Notamacropus eugenii: one gene and its partners. The protein of the gene in region 2 purifies or fractionates together with the protein of the main gene of each other region. This does not show direct contact. Links are inferred from orthologs where the notes say so. Each region holds a gene or a part of one and is shown on either strand. Other genes may lie near its edges. The genes, in order: MAP3K7, USP18 and STAT2.

What was found.
Region 1: the proteins of USP18 (region 2) and MAP3K7 purify together in Homo sapiens (affinity purification with western blotting; 4 studies listed by BioGRID, with this or other methods). This does not show direct contact. The link is inferred for Notamacropus eugenii from reciprocal best matches to the Homo sapiens genes USP18 and MAP3K7.
Region 3: the proteins of USP18 (region 2) and STAT2 purify together in Homo sapiens (affinity purification with western blotting; 6 studies listed by BioGRID and IntAct, with this or other methods). This does not show direct contact. The link is inferred for Notamacropus eugenii from reciprocal best matches to the Homo sapiens genes USP18 and STAT2.

What each region holds. Positions count from the first base shown.
Region 1 is NC_092873.1:164,561,753-164,569,620, forward strand, and holds the start of MAP3K7 (mitogen-activated protein kinase kinase kinase 7), read right to left. Parts: upstream 3,093-7,868; 5' UTR 2,913-3,092; coding exon 2,793-2,912; intron 1-2,792. UniProt on the Homo sapiens protein: Serine/threonine kinase which acts as an essential component of the MAP kinase signal transduction pathway. Plays an important role in the cascades of cellular responses evoked by changes in the environment.
Region 2 is NC_092874.1:207,782,914-207,789,938, reverse strand, and holds the start of USP18 (ubl carboxyl-terminal hydrolase 18), read right to left. Parts: upstream 3,088-7,025; 5' UTR 1,322-3,087; intron 1,293-1,321; exon of another isoform or gene 1,147-1,292; intron 1-1,146. UniProt on the Homo sapiens protein: Interferon-induced ISG15-specific protease that plays a crucial role for maintaining a proper balance of ISG15-conjugated proteins in cells. Regulates protein ISGylation by efficiently cleaving ISG15 conjugates linked via isopeptide bonds.
Region 3 is NC_092874.1:231,637,275-231,644,375, forward strand, and holds the start of STAT2 (signal transducer and activator of transcription 2), read right to left. Parts: upstream 3,074-7,101; 5' UTR 2,978-3,073; intron 2,503-2,977; exon of another isoform or gene 2,430-2,502; intron 1-2,429. Other genes in the region: APOF (apolipoprotein F), read right to left, coding at 3,731-4,624. UniProt on the Homo sapiens protein: Signal transducer and activator of transcription that mediates signaling by type I interferons (IFN-alpha and IFN-beta).

The DNA of each region.
Region 1 (7,868 bases), on a different chromosome or scaffold from region 2:
GAGTCTTTCATGCAGAGATTGGGGTCATTCATTGGTTAGGAGTGTGGTAGAGGGAATTCCTACTCAATTATGAGTTGGAGTAGATGATCTCTTGTCTCTTCCAACTCCCAAGATTTTGTGAGGCTTTGTTCTGCATAGCTCCAACAACTTTTCCCACTTATGTGTTTTATTTCCTGAACCAGACCTCTTAATCAAGAGAAGCTATGTCTTATAATTCTAATATAGTCTTTTGCACACAAAGTAGGAATTGAATAACTCTTGTGAATTAGTCTATGAATTTCTCCCTTTTCTATGGAGGCCTAATCACAAATTCTGTGGTAAGGACAGAATAAAAGATTTAGAATCATAAGATCTGGGTGCAAATCCCAGCTCTGCTAACTTACATACTATAATTTTTACACAAACCTTGATCCATAGACACAGAAGTTCACTGGCATAAATTTTTAAAGGAAAAAATACAATTTTTATATATGACACAAATTTTGATCTCAAAATTTATCTCTCAATGACATAAAAAAAGACTGACTTTTATTTCAAAAAAGAAATTCCTTTCAAATAACAATGGAACCATACTATTTCTTCTTAAGGGTTCTCTGGGTTTTCATAATCAATATGAATTATAAAATATTTTTCTTATGTTTTATTCACAAAATAAGATTCTTTTCTTGTCTATATGACCTCATATAGTATAGTATCTCCACTAAGTTATTCACACACATATAAAATGGAGAAAAAAAATTCTTCCATATATAATAAAATATACTTTGTTATACTATCAGTAATTGCCATTATAGAATAAGTACTGTAAAGTTTAAAAGCTGAATATGTACTTTAAGGACTGGAAACATGTCAGCTTAAGATGTGGTTCTTTAAAATGCCTCTAATACAGGAGATCATATGATCATATATTTAGAGCTGTAAGTGGACTTTAAAGGCCATCTGGTTCAACACACTTATTCTCTAGATGAAGAAACTGAGGTTCAAGGAGGTTAATCGACTTGGCTTAAAACTAGAGAGGTAGAAAAAGGACTTGAAGCCTGGGTAGGACCTCTAACTTTAGAGTGAGTACTCTTAAAAGAGTACCCAATAAATGTGTAAAATATTCAAACTGTTTAGTTAACTGCTAATGTCAATTTCCTTAAAACTTTTCAGAAATTTGTCTTTTAATATTTTTTTATACACAATTTGTCGTTTTGGTCTGAACCAACAATTTCAGTACTTTGAGGAACTCCTGGCAAGGAAAAAAATTTTTAACCAATGCAGATAGGTAGGCAAAATGTGTACCTGATCTTACTTCTAAATAGCATTTATTTAACATATGTTATAATCTCAATCACACTTCTATCACCTAGATAGACAAAAACTAATGAATTAACTTTATTACACTCCAGAAGGAAAAAGTGAAGTAGAACTGTGATTAAGGAAGGATTCAGGTTTTCTAACAATAACTTACAATCAACTTTTTTTAAAATTCTAGATCAAATTTGGATTATGCGGCATCTCTGCATAACTTTGTGATGTTTATGGCACTCTATAGACTGCATAATATACCTGATCATTAATGTGAACCATGTATGAAAACCATCTTAATCTTTAATTTTAGCAATCCCATTTTATGTTTCCTTTACATATTCACATTCAAGAATCAGTTTGATTTAAGAGAACTAAACCTCACTCTACACAACTGATTCCTTTATGAAGTGTTGTCAACACAATTTTTATAAGATCAAAGAACCTAATTAGAGGGACTTTAGAATTTTGGTAGTTTGACCACTCTTAGTGTGCAGAGCAGGAAAGAGGCTCAGAAAGATGAAATCACTTTGCAGTCAAATAATATGTAAGCATTATAAATGTAGAGAGCTAATTTAAAAGTTTACTTTCTAACAAAATGTAGTTAAAAACCCCAACTCCCAATCTCTTTTCCCCTAACTCGAAGTTTTCTATCAAAAGCATCACCATTCTGCTAGTAACCTCATTCATTTTTTATTCTTTCTTTTCGAAGGAAACCAACAACCCGAACCGCGTTGACTCTACCTCTGCATTATCCCCTATCATTTGTCTCCTCAGTTCATAGCGCAACCCTCTTTGCTCAGGCTTTCCCTTTTTCAGTAATTCATGAAATAAGTAATTCATAAAATATTAAAAATACTAAAATTTATGAATTTAGTAATTCATAAAATAATTAAATGAAATGAGCTTTAAAGCTCACCCTTCCATCTCGAAAACCTAGCATCCTAACTAACAGCTGACTTCCAGCCTATCCTCTCAAATTTGGAGTCAAAGGAGAGTCTGGTGCAAACTCCGGCCAGCACCGCTACTTCACTACCAGTATGACTCTGGAAAAGTCACCGAACCTTCCTCTGGGCCTCAGTTTCTGCGTCTGTAAAGTGAAAAGGTAGGACTAGATAATCTCAAGGTCCCTTTCAGCTCGAAAGCATAGGACCTAACTGGTCACCACTGCTTTGTGGATACAGCACTAAGCTTTAACTGGATCTGTATTAGAATTGGGGCTGGGGGAGCAGCGGAATGGGGAACTGTCCCACCACGTTCCTCGAGAGTATTGTTGACAAAGAGGGAAACTAAGTCTTGTTCTGGAAAGCCTGTTACGGAGCCTGCTATTCCCGGCATCTCGACGTAAAGCAATGAAGTACTGTGGCCAAACTTCTGCAGCGAACGGAAAAGGGCAGGCTCTCCCACCCCGCACCTCCCCGGCCCCTCTGCGGCAGCTCCAGCCTCAGGCCCACGAAGGCTCGTCTAGGGCGGGCAGGAAGGGACAAAGGCTCGGCACCCACCTCTTCCACCTCGATCTCCTTGTAGTCGATCTCTTCGAAGTGGAGGACCTGCGAGGGGGTCTCGATCATGTCACCCGCCGAAGAGGAGGAGGAGGAGGAGGCAGCTGAGGCAGTAGACATGATCCCTCTCGGCAGCCGGGGAGAGGCCGCCCCGACAGTCCGGAGGGCTGCGTCCTCCGTCGTCCGGACCGACCTTCAGCCCGGACACCGACAGTCCGGGGACCCGGGGGCCCGGGGAGCCGTGGTGGGGATAGCGGCCGAGGCCGTGTCCCGGCTCGGGCTCGACTGCCCTTTCCGGTCGGGGAGGGGAGGACCCGCCTCCTAATCTTCCGGTTCCGCTCGGAAACCGGAAGAAGGGACAGCCGCGGGTCTGCAGGACTTTGCCCTGCGGTCCCGGCGCGCTGTATCCTGGGAGCAATAAAAGAAGACTAAGGAGCGGAGGGAGCCGGGCCTTCTAGCCTGCACCTCCCGAGAGCGCCGTAGCGGGGGTGGGTGCAGACCCTCCTCTCTAGGAGGGAGATCCCGCGAGATCTGGGTGCCAATCAGAACCTAAAGCGCGAACGTCTGCTTTGCTCTTGACTGGCACCTCTGCGGAGAAGCGATCGGGACGCGTTTACTCGGGTGAAGCGGGAAAGCCTGCCTTGGTTCGGGAACCCGACTATCCCGAGTGGAAGTGACCACCGCTCTATTTCTCTCCCTAGTTTGGGAAGAAAATTCTGAGCCCCGCCCCTTGAGCACCCTGTGTGGGTAGGGGGCAGCGGCGAGGGAAGGAAGCCGAGGTCGGGGAGAGAGGGATCTTCCCTCCGCGCTGCGTGGAACTGCGGGACTCCTCCCCGTAAACTTCGTGTCCCGCCCTGACCTTCCACCGTAACTGGAGCTGCGGCTCCTGGGAGCCCGGAATGCGTTTCCTCCGTTTAATGACCTGTGACAGAAGTTAAACCGGCTGGCAATATTTATTGACCATCTGCCCGGTGGCAGTGAGCCTATGCCAGGGCTTCTGTGCCCAGGGAGTCAATAATGGGAGTAGTGCCGGGGGGCTTCAGGCTCCGTCACTGCCAGCTAGAATACTCCCCAAGTCTTAACCATACTGAGTGATTCTGTCCCGAGAGAACCCAGGTGTTCAGTCATTTCCGACCCCATTTGGGGTTTTCTTGGCAGGGGTACTGGAGTGGCTTGCCATTTTCTTCTGCTCATTTTACAGATGGGGAAGCCGTGGCAAAGAAGGTTTAGGTGACTTGCCCAGGGTCACACAGTTGGTAAGCGTCTGAGGATGCATATTTGAACTCAGGTCCTGACTGCAGTCCTGGTGCTCTGTCCCACTGCACTACCTAGCTGCCCTGTAGAGAAGAAAACCAGAGTTCAGATCTAACCTCAAACTCAACTGTAGACCATAGATTTAACCTGTTTGCCCCAGTTTTCTCATGTGTAAGATGGAGATAATAATAGCACCTACCTCGCAGGGTTGTATTGAGGATCAAATGAGAATAATTGGAAAGCACTCGGCACTTAGGAAGCTATATATAAATCTCGTTTATTACTAGGCTTACTAGGTGTCAGGCATTGTGCTAAGAGCTGGGGATACAAAGTAAACAAAAATTCCCTGCCCTAGAGCTTACTTTCTAATAAGGAGACATGTCAATCAAAAGGTACACACAACACAAATCAGCATTAAATTGGAGGGTAAAAGAAGAGAAAGATCTGGCAGCCAAGACCGCCAGGAATGATCGGAAGGGGCAATTAAATTGATACTTGAAAGAAGCTGGACATTCTAAGAGGCAAAGGTGTGGAGGGCCTTCAGATATAAAGCGCAGATATGAAGAACAGCCAGTAGGCTGGTATAGTAGGATTTAAAATGTGGAGGAGGTTAGACAGATTGGAAGAGTAGGAAAGGAACCAGGTTGTGAAAAGCTTTAGCTGCCCCCCCCCAACACCGCTCCCCCTCCCACTCCCAAAAAGGACTTTATATTTAATCTTGGAGCTAATAGAAAGCCCCTAGAATTTATTGAGGGGGAGTGACATGACAGACTTTTACTTTAGGAAGATCATTTTGGCAAATGAGTGGAGTATGAATTTGGGTGGTAAGAAATAAGACAGGTAGAGGGAGACTAATAAGGAGGTTATAATAATAATACAGGCAGGTGATGACAGCTTAGACTAGGGTGGTGGCTATATGTGAATGAAGAGCAGGAGATACACAGGAGAGATGTATGGCAAAAACCAAGATTTGGTAACATTAAATAGGTGAGTGAGTGTGGAGTAAAGGATGACACTAAGGTTATGAATCTGGCATACTGGGTGAAGTATGGGGGTAAAGATAATGAATTCTGGTTTGGATATGTGGAGTTCAAGATGCCTTTGGGACATCAGTAAAGAAGTCACAGATTGTTCTCTGCGCCGTACAAATTAGAGGATCTTAATTCCTTTGCATATTTGCTGGGAAAGCAATTGAGATCTGACCTACTTCCCCAGGCATAATCAAACCCTTGCCTTACTGTCCTATATATGAGGCAGGTACAACAAGTAGTTATTTCCTTAAATTTCACAATTAAGAAAACTGGGGCACAGAGAGGCTTAAATAACTTGCCCAGGGTCACACAGCCTGCAAATATCTGCGTTAGAACTGGAAATAGCTTTGGGTACTGGAAAGAGTTTTGGATTTTGTGTCAGATGATTTGGGTTTAAATGTAAACTGTGACATTTCTCATGTAACCTTGGACAAGTCACTTAACTTCTGTTTCAGGTTCATCCTATGTAAAAGGAAGTTTAAAGAGTTGGACTAGATACTGTCTTGGGTTCCTGCTAAGATCTAAAATCACAAAAATTTGAATACTTGGTATATTACGATGTTTAATCTGATACATTTGATCATACTGTATAACATTGGTATACTAGGTGCTTTCATAACACATTTAGCTAAGGCAGTCCTTGGACAAACACAGACCTTACTCAATTCTTATTCAAAGCCTTCCCATTTTGATAGGATCAGCTAGGGGCTTGTGTTATACTTGTTTAGTCCTTAGAAAATATAGGGTCACTATACTTGGGCAAAGGAACTGAATATTGATGTTATTGTAGTTAGTTTTCACACGGGAAGTGGTTGTACTGATCCAGAAACCTTTGTCCAACCAGTTTCTGATCACTGATGATCTTAGACATGGGGGTAGAATTTGGTTTCAACATGTTTCTTCTTGTTATTGGTGGTGGTTTTCCTGGTTCTGAGGATGTAAAGCTTAAGTGTGAAGAGATCTCAAATATAACCAGTCCAGCATTGGACAAGTATTTTCTTTCTGACTCTTGAGTGAGAATCATAGTTGAACCAGGCAGATACTGTGTTGCATTAGCTTTCATTCTTGGAGTTAACCGCATTGCCAAAAAAACTTGTATTAAAGAAACAGGTTCTGATGATGAAGATGAGGCAAATGATCAAACCTTTACGTACTATGCCAGTGATGGATTCTATGGACCATTTAATTGCATCCTGTTTGATGTTAAACCTATTCTACAGAAGAGACCCAAACTAGATGAGAAGTATTACTCTTCTAGCATATGGGGACCAACATGTGATGGCCTTGATCGAATTGCTGAATGTGGCAATTTACCAGAAATGCATGTAGGAGACTAGATGCTGTTTGAAAACATGGGCTCCTATACTGTCGATGCTGCTTAAATGGATTCCAGTGATGCACTATCTGTTATCTGATATCTGGGACAGCATGGCAATACATACAATGAAGGAAGAACCAAGGTTTCTTTTTTTCTTTTTTAAAAAAATTTATTTGTTTTCAGTTTTCTACAATCACCACATCTTAGATTTCCTCCCCTCTCCCTCCCCAAGACGGCATGCAATACACATACATTCCTATTAAATACATTTTCACATTGGTGATGTTCCATAGAAGAATTAAAATGAATGGGAGGGCAGCTAGGTGGTGCAGTGGATAGAGCACCAGTGCAGGAGTCAGGAGGACCTGAGTTCAAATCTTACCTCAGATACTTGACACTCACTAGCTGTGTGACCTTGGGCAAGTCACTTACCCCAACTACCTCATCCTGGGTCTCCAGTCATCCTGATGAATATCTGGTCACTGGATTCAGATGGCTCTGGAGGAAAAGTGAGGCTGGTGACGTACACAGCCCTCTCTCACTCAAAACAAAGTCAAGTGCAAGTCATGTCATTATTTCTCTGATGGCATGGTCTTCTTCAGTGATGAAGGACAAACACACAAAACGAATGGGAGAAACCATGAGAAAAATCAAAACAAAACATAACACAAGAGAAAACAGTCTGCTTCATTCTGTTCTCCAAGAACCAAGGTTTCTAACAGAAGTAGAGGACCAGGACATCAACACTTTGATAGTGTCTTGTGCTTGGGAAGGTAGAATGGAACATCACTCAATAACCTCCACTTCAGATAGTGTTATTGTATAGATGTTCTTTGTAGCCATTAATTGCAAGTTTAGCTTGAATTAGAGCATTTGGGGGTAATCATTAACTTAATTCCTGCTTGAGTTTTTAAATGTTTTTTAAGAATGAGGTAGGCACGAATGCAACAATATGGAAGACTAACAGATGGGATCATACTTATCTGTGCTCCTATGGAAACTATTTGAATATTTGTTTTATATGGATTTTTATTCACTTTTCAAATATGCTTTTAAAGATTGCCTCTCAGCTGCTAAGCAAGCATTTGTAGCTTGTACAATGTCAGGATGGGATTGAATTTAGTGTTGTCACCTGTTTTATTTTTATTTTTTATTTTTTAAAATTTATTTATTTAACTTTTAGCATTCATTTTCACAAAATTTTGAGTTCCAAATTTTCTCCCCATTTGTCCCCTCCCTCCACCCCCAAACACCAAGCATTCTGATTGCCCCTATCACCAATTTGCCCTCTCTTCTATCATCCCTCCCTTCCCTTGTCCCCATCTTCTCTTTTGTCCTGTAGGGCCAGATAACTTTCTGTACCCCATTACCTGTATTTCTTATTTCCTAGTAGCAAGAACAGTACTCGACAGCTGTTCCTATAACTTTGAGTTCCAACTTCTCTTCATCCCTCCCTCCCCACCCATTCTCTTT
Region 2 (7,025 bases):
AACTTTAAAGCAGTACAGAATGGTGAACCATTTTCATTATACGCTGCATACTCTGTGCTGACCTCCTCATATGGCAACAATATGGATGCCAGAAGTCAAAAACTGTTTATGGATGACTATTATATGATCAGTTAATCAGGATCTGAGCATTTCAGCATAATACTCTTAATAAATCCTAGAGTCCATTTTAACACCATTACAATCATATTGTTTCTGGTCATTTATTGAATTACTTCCTATAGCCAAATGACTTAATAGCAACCTGATTAAAGAAGATAAAATTGCTGGCACTACTGGATTTATTTTGCAGTTAATTTTCATATTTTCATAAACATTATTTTCCTGTTTGTTATTATTATAAGCAAGTTAAATAGTAAATGTGTTTGCATATGTCACGATCCAGTTATTTTGAGGAAATTAGTAAGTGGAAATATCTAATTCCTTTCCTAAGGAAAAAAGAAAATTCAGCTCAGATACTGTTTAAAAAAATATGAGGCAAAGCTTTTTTTTTTTTTTTTTTTTTTTGGTTTCTTAAAAGACTCCAACCAATTTGTTAAAGTTGTAAAAAGTTACCCAACTTATCCAGAAAATGCAGTTAATAAAAGCCAGGGGTCGCAGAACTATCTGGCAAATTAAGCGGTTGCCTAAACAGATCTGCCTCAATTCTCTGCGGCAGAGGCAGAAGTTGAAGTCAGATATTCCTGAAACCAGTGCTAGAGTTTTTTTATATCTATTTTATAAGAAAAGGCAAATATAATTTTTAAGCTTTGTCATACATAGCAGAATGCAAATACATTTATTTAATCGGCTAAACATCCCCCTTTCCATCAGTTAATCCATATACATGTATTAAGCGTCTACTATGTACCAGGTACTTGCTAAGTGCTGGGGATTCAGAAAGAGGTAAATGACAGTACAAGACCTCAAAAAATTTAGTCTATTTAATTTTGAGGGGGGAAAATAGTCTTTATTTATTTAGTCAATTTCCTAAATAGCCCATATTTTTAGTATCCTCAGAACTGAGTCACTATTTTTGTGTAAGGATTTTTAATTTCATTATTCCCCAGGCAGAAATATTTTTTTAAAAAATTCTTAGATCTAAAATATCAAGATAATGCATACAAAAATTAATTCTTTGTAAATCACCTTAACAAATAAACTTTTACCCATCCAAATGGTTTCAGGCGCTGAAAAACCCTGCAGTGGCTTCGGATATGTCAAATTTACTCCGTAGACTTTTGGGAAAGAATTCTTCAACTTAGCCCTGGACCACTGCAAGAGACAAACCAAGTACAGGGAAGAATGAGGGGAGTCCACTTACTGCAGACAGTAAAACGCGAACAAGGCACATCCGCGAGACAGGGTCTACTTCTCAAGCAGCGGAGGAGGTTCTGTGAGCATCTATCCGGAAAGCGACCTGCTTTTGTCTGTGCCTTCCTTGCATACATTCTGCAGCTTTTCCACAGAGGGCAACTGTGAGCTGAGTTGAGTTTTGATTTCCCACAGAATGGAAAGTGAAACTCAACAAGCCGCAGCGGCGCTGTTTCTCAGGTTTCCAAGTCCAGCGGGAAAGGAAACTTTCTTCTTGCGGAGAAGGAAGAGAGGTAAATAGCTGTTTGCCTGCACCAGTCACTGAGGAACGTACCACACCTCTACCTCGAAGCCTAGAGCAGATCCAGGTACACTGGAGCTGACAGGATGGGATTGGGATAGAAGAGATGTGAGATGCACTCTTTACTTAGGTCAGGACTTGGATTTCACAGTCTGATGTATATTGTGTACATAAATATTTTTACACAGGTGTGTATGTGGGCCTATAACATATACATTTAAGTTCCGAGAAAATAAATGATGGTCCATTTATTCTAGAATACTTATAGTAACCCTCTCTGTGGTCACACATACACACACAAAACAGGTTAGAAGCCGGTGGATTGGGTAATAACTAAACAAGTGGGGGTACCAGAATGTAATGGAATATTATTCCACCTTTAAAAAGGAAAAAACTCAGAAAAACAAAAGAAACTCAGAAGCATGGGAAGACATCAATGAACTGATATGCTAGGATGGAAAACAGTATACACAATTTAAATGAAACAATAAAGCCAAACTGAGCAGAGTGTAATTATAATGACCAAGTTTAACTCAGAGAGGAATTGAGAAAATTTGCATTCTAACTTCCTTTACAGACGTTGAGTGTGCAGTGTTGCACGTAACATGGGACACAGTTGTGTTGGCTCTTTTAAATGAACTACTTTTCCACTGTTTTATTGTTTGTTAGGCAAGATAGTTCCCCAGGTGAAAAAGAAAGAATATATGTCTACTAGTCTAATATTTTTAAAAGAAAAAATATTATAGATTCCCATTAATAAGAATAATAAAATAGGAGTTGGTCCAGGACTCAAAAGAGATAGAATGTTCTCAAAAACTGATAATACAACCAACTACATGCCATCTGAAAAAGGAGAAAAAGGGAGGCATAGTTGACATGGAAAGAACACTATCTGGGCAGGGAGTTAGAAGAGGTGGGTTCTAAATGATTAAATGTGTAACCTGAGAGGTCACTTCGCTTGTCTGAGACTCTGAGATCTCATTTGTAAAGGAGCTTGGACTTATCTTCATCTGAGGTCTCTTCCATTTCTAACATTATTTTATACCAATCAGACTCTGTTGGGTTAGATGACCTGTCAGCAACATTGATTATTTTTTGAACCACAAAAATTTAAGAACATTTTAATAGATGCCAATAATCTCCCAACTACATGGAATGAAAAGTTTTAAAAATATAGAGACCTAGAAGAAGAAATTAAAACCATGTGGGAACAGGATGAGATACATCTCATCCCTACCATCCTTCTTTTTTTAATATTTTATTTTTCCCCAATTACATGTCAAAATAGTTTTTTAACATTTTTTTAAAGTCCTGAAATCCAAATTCTATCACTTCATCTCTCCCTCTCTTTCCTCTTCCCTGATACAGTAAGCAATTTGACAATAGGTTATACATGGGCAATCATGTTAAATATTTCCATATTAGTCATTTTGTACTGGAAGACTTGAACAGAACAAAATAAAACAAAAAAAAAGAAAATGAAAAATAGCATGCTTCAGTCTGTGTGTTCAGAAAACATCAGTTCTTTGGAGGCAGATAGCATTTTTCATCAGGAGTCCTTTGAGATTGTCTGGAATCATTGTATTGCTAGACTAGCTGTCATTCACAGTTGATCAGGGTACAATATTGTTGTTACTATGTACAATGTTCTCCTGGTTCCTCTCACTTCACTTTGCATCAGTTCATACAAATCTTTCCAGGCTTCTCCCCCTCCTTTCCTTTTTATTTATTTTCAATTTTCAACATTCACTTTTATAAGATTTTGAGTTCTAAATTTTCCCTGTCCCCTACCTCCTCTTCAAGACAGCATGCAGTCTGATATAATGTCATGTTAAACATATTTCCACATTAGTCATATTGTGAAAGAAGAATCAGAGCAAAAGGGAAAAACTGTAAGAGAAGAAAGAAAGAAAATAGTATGCTTCTATCTGCATTCAGATTCCATAGTTCTTTTTCTGGGTGTGGATAGCATTTTCCATCATGAGTCTTTTAGAATTGTCTTAGAATCTAAGACTTAGATCATTGCATTGTTGAGAAGAACTAAGTTGATCAAAGTTGTTCATCGCACAACGTTACTGTTACTGTGCACAATGTTCTCCTGGTTCTGCTCCCTGCTTTCAGCATCAGTTCATGTAAGTCTTTCCAGGTTTTTCTGAAATCTACCTACTCACCATTTCTTATTTCTTACAGTATTCCATTACATTCATATACCACAACTTGTTCAACAATTCCCCAATTGATGAACATCCCTTCAATTTCCAATTCTTTGACACCACAAAAAGAGCTGCTATAACTATTTTTATACATGTGGGTCCTTTTCTCTTTTTTTATGATCTCTTTAAAATACAGACCTAGCAGTGATATTACTGGGTCAAAGGACATATTTTACACATTTTATGCATGTTTTATGTTTACAGTTTTATAGCCCTTTGGTCAAAGGGTATATTTTACACATTTTATACATCTTTTATGCTTACAGTTTTATAGCCCAAATTGCTCTCCAGAGTGATTTTCCACAACTCCACCAACATTGTGTTGTTGTCCCAGTTTTCCCACATCCCCTCAAACATTTAACATTTTCCTTTTTTGTCATTTTAGTCAATTCAATGAGTATGAGGTGGTAACTCAGAATTGTTTTAACTTGCATTTCTCTAATCAGTAGTGATTCAGAGCATTTTTTCATATGACTATAGTTTTAACAACATTGATTTTAAAGAGAAATATACAAAAAAATGGTAGAAAAGACACAAGGGGAAATTCAAAAGATGGGCATAGACACATCATATTATCAGCAAATTAAAGCCCAAAATACGCTATAGACAACTTTTTAAATACACTTATTTTTGTATTTACCTATATGTGATCAGAGGAGAGTAAATAGAATGGTAATACCTATTCTGACTAATTATTCCACAGTAAATTCTCCTGGGATACAGAACCACTCCTTAGAACATAATAACACTATCAGTCAGCCTAAGCCCTTCAGAATTTCAGGTTTAAGTAGACAATACATTAGTTCTGATGAGGATTATGGTCAGGGAACAGAATAATTTAAGATGTTCCAAAGGAAACTGAGACAAAGGTAATCCACATGGCCAGATAGAGGATAAACACTAATATTTACCCACGCATTGCATGTCTTGAATTTAATTGCGTGTTTATTGATACGTGTGCTAATCATTTCATGTTTGAATAGGTTTTTGTTCTATTATGCTTTTGTTTATAGATATGCTAATGATTTGTAATATATTCTACATGTCAACTAGGCCTATAGTGACTAAAGCAGCTGTGAAGTGGCCTATCTATTGTATGTATTATTACTTTATGTTTGCTGAATATAATTTGCATTATAAGGGGATTGACTGAGACATGGAGTTAAACATCCTTGTTCTGTTCTGTATTGATGCATATTTGATGCTACCTTGTTTGATTCTAGATAGCATGTCTAGCACACCTTATTTGCGATTTTTCTTTTTTAAATCTCTTGGTTTTTTACATGTAAAAATACATGTAAAAATAATTTTTAACATTTGTTTTTAAATTTTGAGTTCCAAAATTTCTCTCACCCTCCTTCCTGTTCCCATGCAAAGCAAGCAATTTGATACGGGTTAAATATGTGCAGCCATGCAAAACATATTTCCATATTAGTCATGTTGTGAAAGAAAACACAGACACCCCTGTAATGGCAATTGAAATGGGAAGATTATTTGTATTGACTTCTTGGCTTCTATGATGGAATTGGCTTTCTGGTTTGGGGATTTGACTTTCTGGAGTCTGAATAAATGTTTTTCTTCTGCCTTCTAAATGGCGAGTCTGTGATTCTGAACTACACTGGCATATTCATAGTCATCCTCGGTGCTGTGAATATTGCCTGGGCAATACAACTCCCTTCCCCTCCAAAAAAAGAAAAAGAAAGTTTAAAATGTATACTTTGATCAGTCCTCAGATTCCACCAATTGTTTCTCTGGAACTGGTATTTATGTCATGAGTCTTTTGGTACTGTCTTGCATCTTTAGAATTACTGAGAATAGCTGTTGTTCACAGTTGATCATCATACAATATTTTTGTTACTGTATACAGTGTTCTTCTGTTTCTGCTCACTTCACTTTGCATCAGTTCATGTAACTCTTTCCAGGTTTTTCTGAAAGCATCCTGCTCATCATTCCTTATAGCATAATTGTATTCTACATTTCCCAGTTGCTGGCATCCCCTCAGTTTTTACTTCTTTGCCAATACAAGAAAAAATATTATAAATATTTTTGTACATGTAGGTCCTTTTCCTTCTCTTTTTTTTGTCTCTTTGGGATACAGGCTCAGTAGTGGTATTGCTAAGTCAAAGGATACACACACTTTTATAACCTTTTGAGCATAGATCTAAATTGCTCTCCAGAATGGTTGAATCAGTTCACAATTCTATCAACAGTGTCCCAATTTTCTCCAACATTTATTTTTTTCTTTCATATTTGCCACTTGGATTGATGTGATGTCATATGTCAGAGATGTTTTAATTTTCATTTAACTAATCAATCATGAATTAGAGCATTTTTTTTTGTGACTACAGATGGCTTTGATTTCTTCATCTGAAAGCTGCCTGTTCATGTTCTTTGACCATTTATCAATTGGAGAATAACTTGTATTTTTTTGTATTCTTTGACTGTTCTCTATTTATTTGATAAATGGGGGCTTTGTCAGAGAAACTTGGGGTAAAATTCTTCCCACCTCGTTTTCTGTTTTCCTTCTAATCTTGGTTACATTGCTTTTGTTTGTGCAAAATGTTTTTAATTTAATATAATCAAAATTATCAATATCCCATTATGCTTTCTATCTCTGGTTTGGCCATAAATTCTTTCTTTATCCATAAATATGACAGGTACACTATTCTATGCTCCCTTAATTTGCCTAAGGTATTACCCTTTATGTCTAAATCATGTGCCTGTTTTGACCTTATTTTGGTATACAGTATGAGATGTTGGTCTATACCTACTTTCTGCCAAATTGCTTTACAGTTTTCCCAGAAGTTTTTGTCAAATACTGGGCTCTTTTTTGGATTTTGGGGTTTATCAAACACTAGATTACCACAGTCATTTACTACTATGTATTGTGTCCCTCATCTATTCTACTGATCTACCACTCTATTTCTTAGCCAGTAGCAGATTGTTTTGATGATTACCACTTTATATTACAGTTTGAGATACAGTATGGCTAAGCCAACTTCCTCCATGTTTTTTTCCATTAATTCTCTTGATATTCTTAGCCCTTTGTTCCTCCAGATGAATTGTTATTTTTTTCTAGTCCTATAAAATAATTTTTGTTAATTTAATATGGTATTGAATTAATTTAGGTAGAATTGTTATCTTCTTATAACTATATGTAGTTACATGTATATAGCTTAACCTACCCATGAGCAATGAAT
Region 3 (7,101 bases), about 24 Mb from region 2:
GAATGTCATAGGCCAAAAACTTCATTGTAACACTTTTTGTGATGACAAAAAATTGGAAACAAAGTAGATGCTCTTTAATTGCAGATTAGTTAAGCAAATTGTGGTAAATTAGTATAATGGAAAATTACTGTGTAATAAGAAAAAATTAACATTAAATAAATCGTAGATGCACAAGAAGGCAATGTCAACAAAAAGAAAGAGAAAACCAGAACTGAACACTGGTCAATTATAAGGACCAAGTCTGACTTTAAAGGAGATACAGTATCATAATCTGGCTCAACTTTGTCATTTTATAGATGAAAAAGTGCTTCTCCCTCCTTTGCAGAGATGGGAGGGGACTATGCATGTGGAACATTGTACATACTGTCAAATTCCGCTTGCTGTATTGGTTAGTTTGGGGGAACTACACTTTTTTCTCACGTTTTCATTTTTCTTTGTCACAAGCAATGGCCTCCTTTTGTTAGGGGTAAGAAAGATAACAGTTATGCAAGCGTAAAAGATATCAATTTTTTTTTAAAGAAAAACTAAAATCATTGGAGGGCTACTTATTTTTCCATGGTTGGTGTAGATCAATATCATAAAAAATACTGCTACCTAAATTTATTGTCCTATACCAAACTACCAAGAATATATTTTAAAGAGCTAGCAAAATAATAACCAAGTTCATTTGGAGGAGCAAACGTCTGGAATTTCAAGGAGATAACAAAAAAAGGAGATTAAAGTTAGGATGGCACTTCCAGACTTCAAAGTGTATTAAAAAATAGCAATTAACAAAATTATTGGGTGTTGGTTAAAATGTAGCAAAGTAAATCAGTGGAAAAGACTTGTGAAGCAAGAATCAGAGACTATCAAACTCAGTAACTTGGTGTTTATTGAATTGAGAACAAAATTCTTGGAAAAGAACTCTGACAAAAACACTGAGAAAACTGGTAAATGGTTTGTCAGAAATTTAGGTTTAGATCATCGTCAACAACAACCTAGTAGCTAGTATTTACAGAGTGCTTTAAGATTGCAAAGAATATTACAATTTTAACCTCACAACAAACCTGCAAGGTAGGTTCTATTATTATCCCTATTTCACAGATTAAGATTGAGGATTAGACAGTTTAAGTGACTTGGTTAGGGCCACCCAGCTAGTATTTGACTTCATATTTGAATTCAGGTCTTCCTCACCTCAGGCCCAGCACTTCATCCACTGTACCACATAGCTGCCTGGCATCTATATACCACAATGAATTACAAATGCATACTTGAAAAAAATACTTTAAAAATTGTCAAAACAAAACTATGACTAGAGAAGAAATTTTTAAACAAGTTAAAGAGACAATCACAAAAGGGGAATCAGATGATTTTGATTACTTGAAATTGAAAAGCTTTTGCATAAATGAAATCAATGCAGCTAGGATAAGATGCTTGGGGAAAACAATCTTTGCCTCACACGGAACCATGAAGACAATATATGTAATGATTAAAAAATAAAAGGACAATTTAAAAAACTGAATGCTATGTAATTATAATGACCAAGCTTGCCCTATGAAAAGAACTGAGAAAATCGAGCCCTATCCCTTTATTGAAGAGGTGGGGTACTACGGTGCTAGAATACTGTACAGTTTCTGCGTTGACTGGCTATGCTGAAGTGTTTTTAATTTTGGTCATAAGAGGAGTTTCAGTTGGTAGGGGAAGGAAACTAATGTGATGTTAACACAAAGAGGAAGCAGAACACAGGAACAGATTTACCCAAAGGATCAGAAAGGGGCAGTGGGAATACCTGGTTGAAGACTGGGAGCCCAGAAATACTCATATCTTATGAGTTTTAAGTCTATCTTTCTACCCAGCTGCCCACGAATATATGTATTTATATGTAAACACACAAAATACACATACATGCATAAACACACTGCATGCATATGCATGTGTGCATTATGCACATTAATGAACACAAATTACACATGTATACATGTATATAGATATGAACTGTGTAGCTATATTTGAAGCTAAATACCTATCCAAATGCACATATACATATATGCGCACATATATGTATATAGATCTATTTGTATTATATATTTATGTTAGATTTACATATATAAATGTATATATTTCCCCCCCATATAGTAAATGGACTCTACAGACTAATTTCCTTTTGGGTCATGAAAAGTTGTAAGGGAGTTAAAAATTTTAGTGGGAAAGGGGACACAAGCTGATCAGGAAATACGAAATGACCCTGATTTTAGAGGTTAAATCCTAGAACTGAAAAGAGAGGAATCCAACTCAGATATTGGAAGAAAGTTGACAGTACATTCCCGGGCTAGGTGCCCAAATTGGTGAAACTTGTCAAAGCCTCCCTCTCCTCCCCGCCCCCCCGCCCCTGGCCCCGCCCCTCCCCTGGCCCCGCCCCCTCCCCTGGCCCCGCCCCCCTCCTGGGCTACCTGTTGTCAGAAATACTGTGGGGTAGTGAAAGGTGCTGGGGATTGACGTTTGCCAATCTCTCTTCCCCTGAGACTTCATGCATCAGTAAAGAGAAAAAATGATCTGGTGTTAAAAGCCTCAAATACGGCGTGGGGGGGAGGGGAGGAGAAGAGATACAACTCCCGCCCCCGCCCCTCCCACTCCCCCCCTTAAAATGTTATTTTCACAAATTATATACTGTATTTTTTAAAAGCACCCTCCGCCACCATCTAATGAGTTCTAGGGAAGAAAGAGAATAGAGAGCCAAGACTGGAATATCACAGAGGAAAAGGAAGGGCTGAGGAGGGTGATACATGAAGGGGCAGGGGATGGGGATCAGGGGCCGGGGGCTGCACAGTAGGGAGTCGAGGGGAGGGGGGGCGGGCCGTGCATCCAAGTTCAGGGGCCGCGGCTAATGGCGGGTGTCAGACTCCAAGGTCTCCTGGAGGCCCACCCTCTCCTCAGAACCTACGATCGCTTGCCCGGAGCCCATGCTTCGCCCTCCCAAGGGGGCTCGCGGCCTCCTTACCTGGCTGGTGTCGCTCCCCCAGTCTCGCGGCTCAGGGACCCAGCACTCGCCTGCCTGCTCGACCCTAAACACTGGAAGCCCCACCCCCTCACTCTCAGGCTCCTCCCTCCGCCTAGCTATTCCGGGTCTGGACACCCCTCCCTTCGGCAGCTCCAGCGCGTCACTCCGCGCTCTCCACCAGCCTCTTCTGGCTCTTCGAAGGCTTCCTCAGAACGACAAGCCCCGCCCCTCGTCAAAGGGTGGGGCATGAAGGAAAAGCCCCGCCTTCCGCCCGCAGTGATTGGACTGAAGGTCCAGCCAAACTCCGCCTTCTTTCCGCGGCGGGAGGGAGTCCCGCTGGAAGAATAGCCCAATGAAAAGTCAAAGATTGAGCCCGGGAGGCTGATGGTTTCCTGGAATTGAGGCGGAGCTACAGGGGAAAAGAGAAGAGCTCAAGCTAGAGATGAAACTAAAGGCTGTCAGTCAACCTGGGGAGCAGCTCGAGAGCCGGCCCCGAGGCGGCGCAGCAGGTAAAGAGAGACCCTGGCAGAAGTGAAGAGGATTTAGGCTCACGAGTTCAAACCTAAGCCTCACCGTTTTCTTCGAGTGCCACTGACCTGGCTTCCCTCAGTTTCCTACATGACCTAGAGATTAAATTCCAAATTAAAATTCCAGCCATCTTTTATTAAGCGCAGACACAGATGCGGAGAACAATCAAGCCTTTATTAAGCACTCGCACATACTGATACAGACGTCCCTCTCCGACTCCTTCTTTCATGCCCCCCTCCCCCAGTTCCACAGGGAGCTGTCCCCTGTCACCTCATCAGCCGTGCGATCGCTGCTGCCCATAGCCGGAGACACCCCAGGGCCCAATTCTGTGCTGGCTCTCCAGTCCTGCCACCTTTGCTCTGTGCCCTGGGCTGGGCTTCCTGACTCCTCCTTATTACCGTAATAATATTCGATCAGTTTCTGAACCCCAGCTTTGACCGCCGGCTTAAGTGCCAAACCGGCCATCACCCCCCCAGGCCCCCCTGTTGCCCCCATGAGTCCAACAAGGAGATCGTAGCCCAGGTCCAGCGCCGCTTCCTGTCCTCGCTCCCAGGCCTGAGCAGTGCAGTTCTGGGCAGCATAATAGAAAGCTGTCCCAAGGTTGTAGTAAGTCCCCACTTGGGGCAGGTACCGCATCACATTGTGCACTCCTCGCTCCTTCTCATAGACACAGTCCGCGGTCGAGAGGGAACGAGGCGCCCTTCTGGACCTCTCACTTCTCCGGCCCAGGAGCTGCAGAGCAGAGAACAGGACCCAGTCCGATCTCCTTTCTCTTCTGGTCCTTGGAAGGCCTTGGAGCTGTTGGATGAGAGTCTCTGTGGCTTTCACCCCGCCCAGTCTATGGAGTCGCTGCCGAAGGTCGTGGGCATCCGCTGGGCATCCTGCTCTCTCCAGGGTTATGTAGAAGGCCAGGCTAATCAGATACTTAGGCAGAGGGTCTAGGCGGTTGAAATCGGGAAGAGACTCAGGCATCAGGTTCCAACAGGAAAGGGGGCTGAGAGTGGTTGGTTGGGACTCCAGGGACGAAGTTGGGAGGGGTAGGGCCTTGGGATGGGATCCATCTGGGAGGGCAGCTACTGGGTATAGCAGGAGGCTGCATAGAAGGACCATCACAGGCATTTTGGAGGGTAGTGGATACAGCCTTGCTAGAGAGGAATATAAAGGAGACACAAAGCTATTCTGGTTGAAGTCTGAAAGGATTCAGATCCCAGTCAGGGAACAATTCTATCCCTATTACAACCTCCACCTCAATAACTTGGTACCAACAGACAAGGTGGGAATTTTTGGACTGATTATGCAAGAATTTGTGCTCTTTATCCTCCCCTGCCAATTCTGGTCTCTTCATCTTTGTCTTTGTGGAAAGCTAGAGAATCATTTCTCATCGAACAAAAACAAGAAGTATACCCACCTGTTTAAGAGCCACACAGCCTCTCCTTTGTAGGTCTCACTGCCTTGTAACTTTCCAGTTGTGGACTTCTCCACTCGCCCCTCCTCCTCCTATTCGATCCCAAAGATTGGCAAGAGATGTGATCACTGTAAATATTTGTCCATCTTGCAACAGATCATCCCTTGTTTTCTTGTGATGTAGGAAAGTGAACAGAAAACCATATAAAGTTAGAGGGTTTGAGTCCAAGTCTTATTCCTTACTAAGTTCTATGACACTTAATTCATTTAACTTCCATGAACCTGTTTGTTCATCAATGTAGCAGGGACAATAGCTAGACGATGCAGTGGGTACAGCCTTGAATCTGGACTTGGGGAGACCACAGTTCAAATCCAGCTTCAGACTGTGTGACTTTGGGCAAGACATTTAACCTCTGTTTTCCTCAACTGGAAAATAGAGGTAATGATATGACCTACCTCTCAGTTGTGAAGATAAGTGAGATAACATTTTCAAATGGGATATTTGTAAAGTCCTTAGCACCATGCCTGGCACATGGCAGCTGCAATAATAATAGGGGTTATTGTTGTTATTTCCACTGCGAATCAAAAGGAATATGTACAAAGTGCTATATAAGGTAAGCTACTATTATTATGCTTTCATCTTCATTAGGAAAAAGGCAATTAACTGGGCAGTTTCTTTTCCTTGCTATTTGCCTGTCACCCATGCCACCAGGTTCCTGCTCAGGTTCAGAGAAGTCTAGGGAATGGACATTGTGGAAGATAAAAGAGTAGTCTGAGATTCTCCAAACTTTCCCAGTCTTCAGTCTGGGAAATTGTCTTCAGTCAAGACAGTTACTGGTGACATATTTGCAATTTTTCTCATGCAGTAGATCTGTTAGTTTGCATCGAATTCACATAACCTTTAAGGATCTAAGTCCTTATTTAATTGGATTCAGTCAAAGTTTTGGCTGCACTTGAGGACCTAGAGGGTCACATGTGGCCTTGACACATCAGGTTCCCCACCCCTGACCTAGAGTCTCCTCCATGAAATTATGAAGCACTAGAGGATATTAGTAAAGGGTAAATACAAAGTACATGCTCAATATTTGCTTAATGAGGGAATAGAGCAGAGGGTCTAGGTGGTTGAAATTCGGAAGAGACAAAGAAAGTGTGGTCAAGGGGCGATGATTCTGGGAAGATGACTGAGTAGGTCAGAAAGTTCCAAACTCTCCAGATTTCCCCCACAAATGAGAAATGGAAAGACTTGGACTTGTGAAGGAAGAGTTTATCCACCCTCAGAGAAAGAGGTCAAATAAATATAGCACGGTCTTACATAATGCATGTGAATGTGTATGTCTATATGAGTATGATTATAGACATCTAAGTATATGTATGCATTAAGTATATGTGTGCAAAGAGGGTCTGGAAGCTAAAGGGAGAGAGACCAAGATAGAACTGGTCAGGTATGGGTCCTTTAATCAACAGCTTGTATCTATCTTAAGTTTCAGTGAAACTGGGGTGTTTCTTTCCCCTCTCTACAGCCTCTTGGACCCTTTAATTCTAGTTAGTCAATTAAAAAAATCTACACTTATTAAGCACCTATTACAACCACTAAACTAGGTTTTACTGGACATAAAGAGAGAAATAACATGTCTTTCTATTCCTGTTTAATGTAAGCTTTAATTGCTCATCAAAACTTTAGGAAGATTGGGTTACTAGTCTTCATGTGAAGCATTTGCAAACTATTTAGAGTTTCTGTCCCCTCACCCCCAAAGGACTAGTTATTCTATATAGCCTGAATTTTATCCAAGAAAACAAGCAGACTGTGCTCTTCACCGAGAAGCTGCAAGTCTTGGGGTAGAGGGTATTAGGAAATGTTTGGCCAGGACTTTTTGATCAACTCGGCACATTATGATAGCCTTTAATTCAGGAAGTTTTAGCTGATACTGCATGACACTTCAAGCCTCAGATGAAAACTCTGAATAGCATGGAGGACAAAAGCCTGGAAATGGGACTTGGGGTCTATGGGAACAGAACCAGGACAAACTCACATGCTTGTTGTGAAATTTGATAGATCACCCCTCAGGTTCATGGGTATAGTCTCTCTGGAGGGACAAGTGAGCAATGATGAATCCCCAGCTCAACTGAAATTTGCCCAAGAGCTACAGAGACAGTAGGATCTTAAGTCTTGCCAACACCTTGTAATCCAAGAA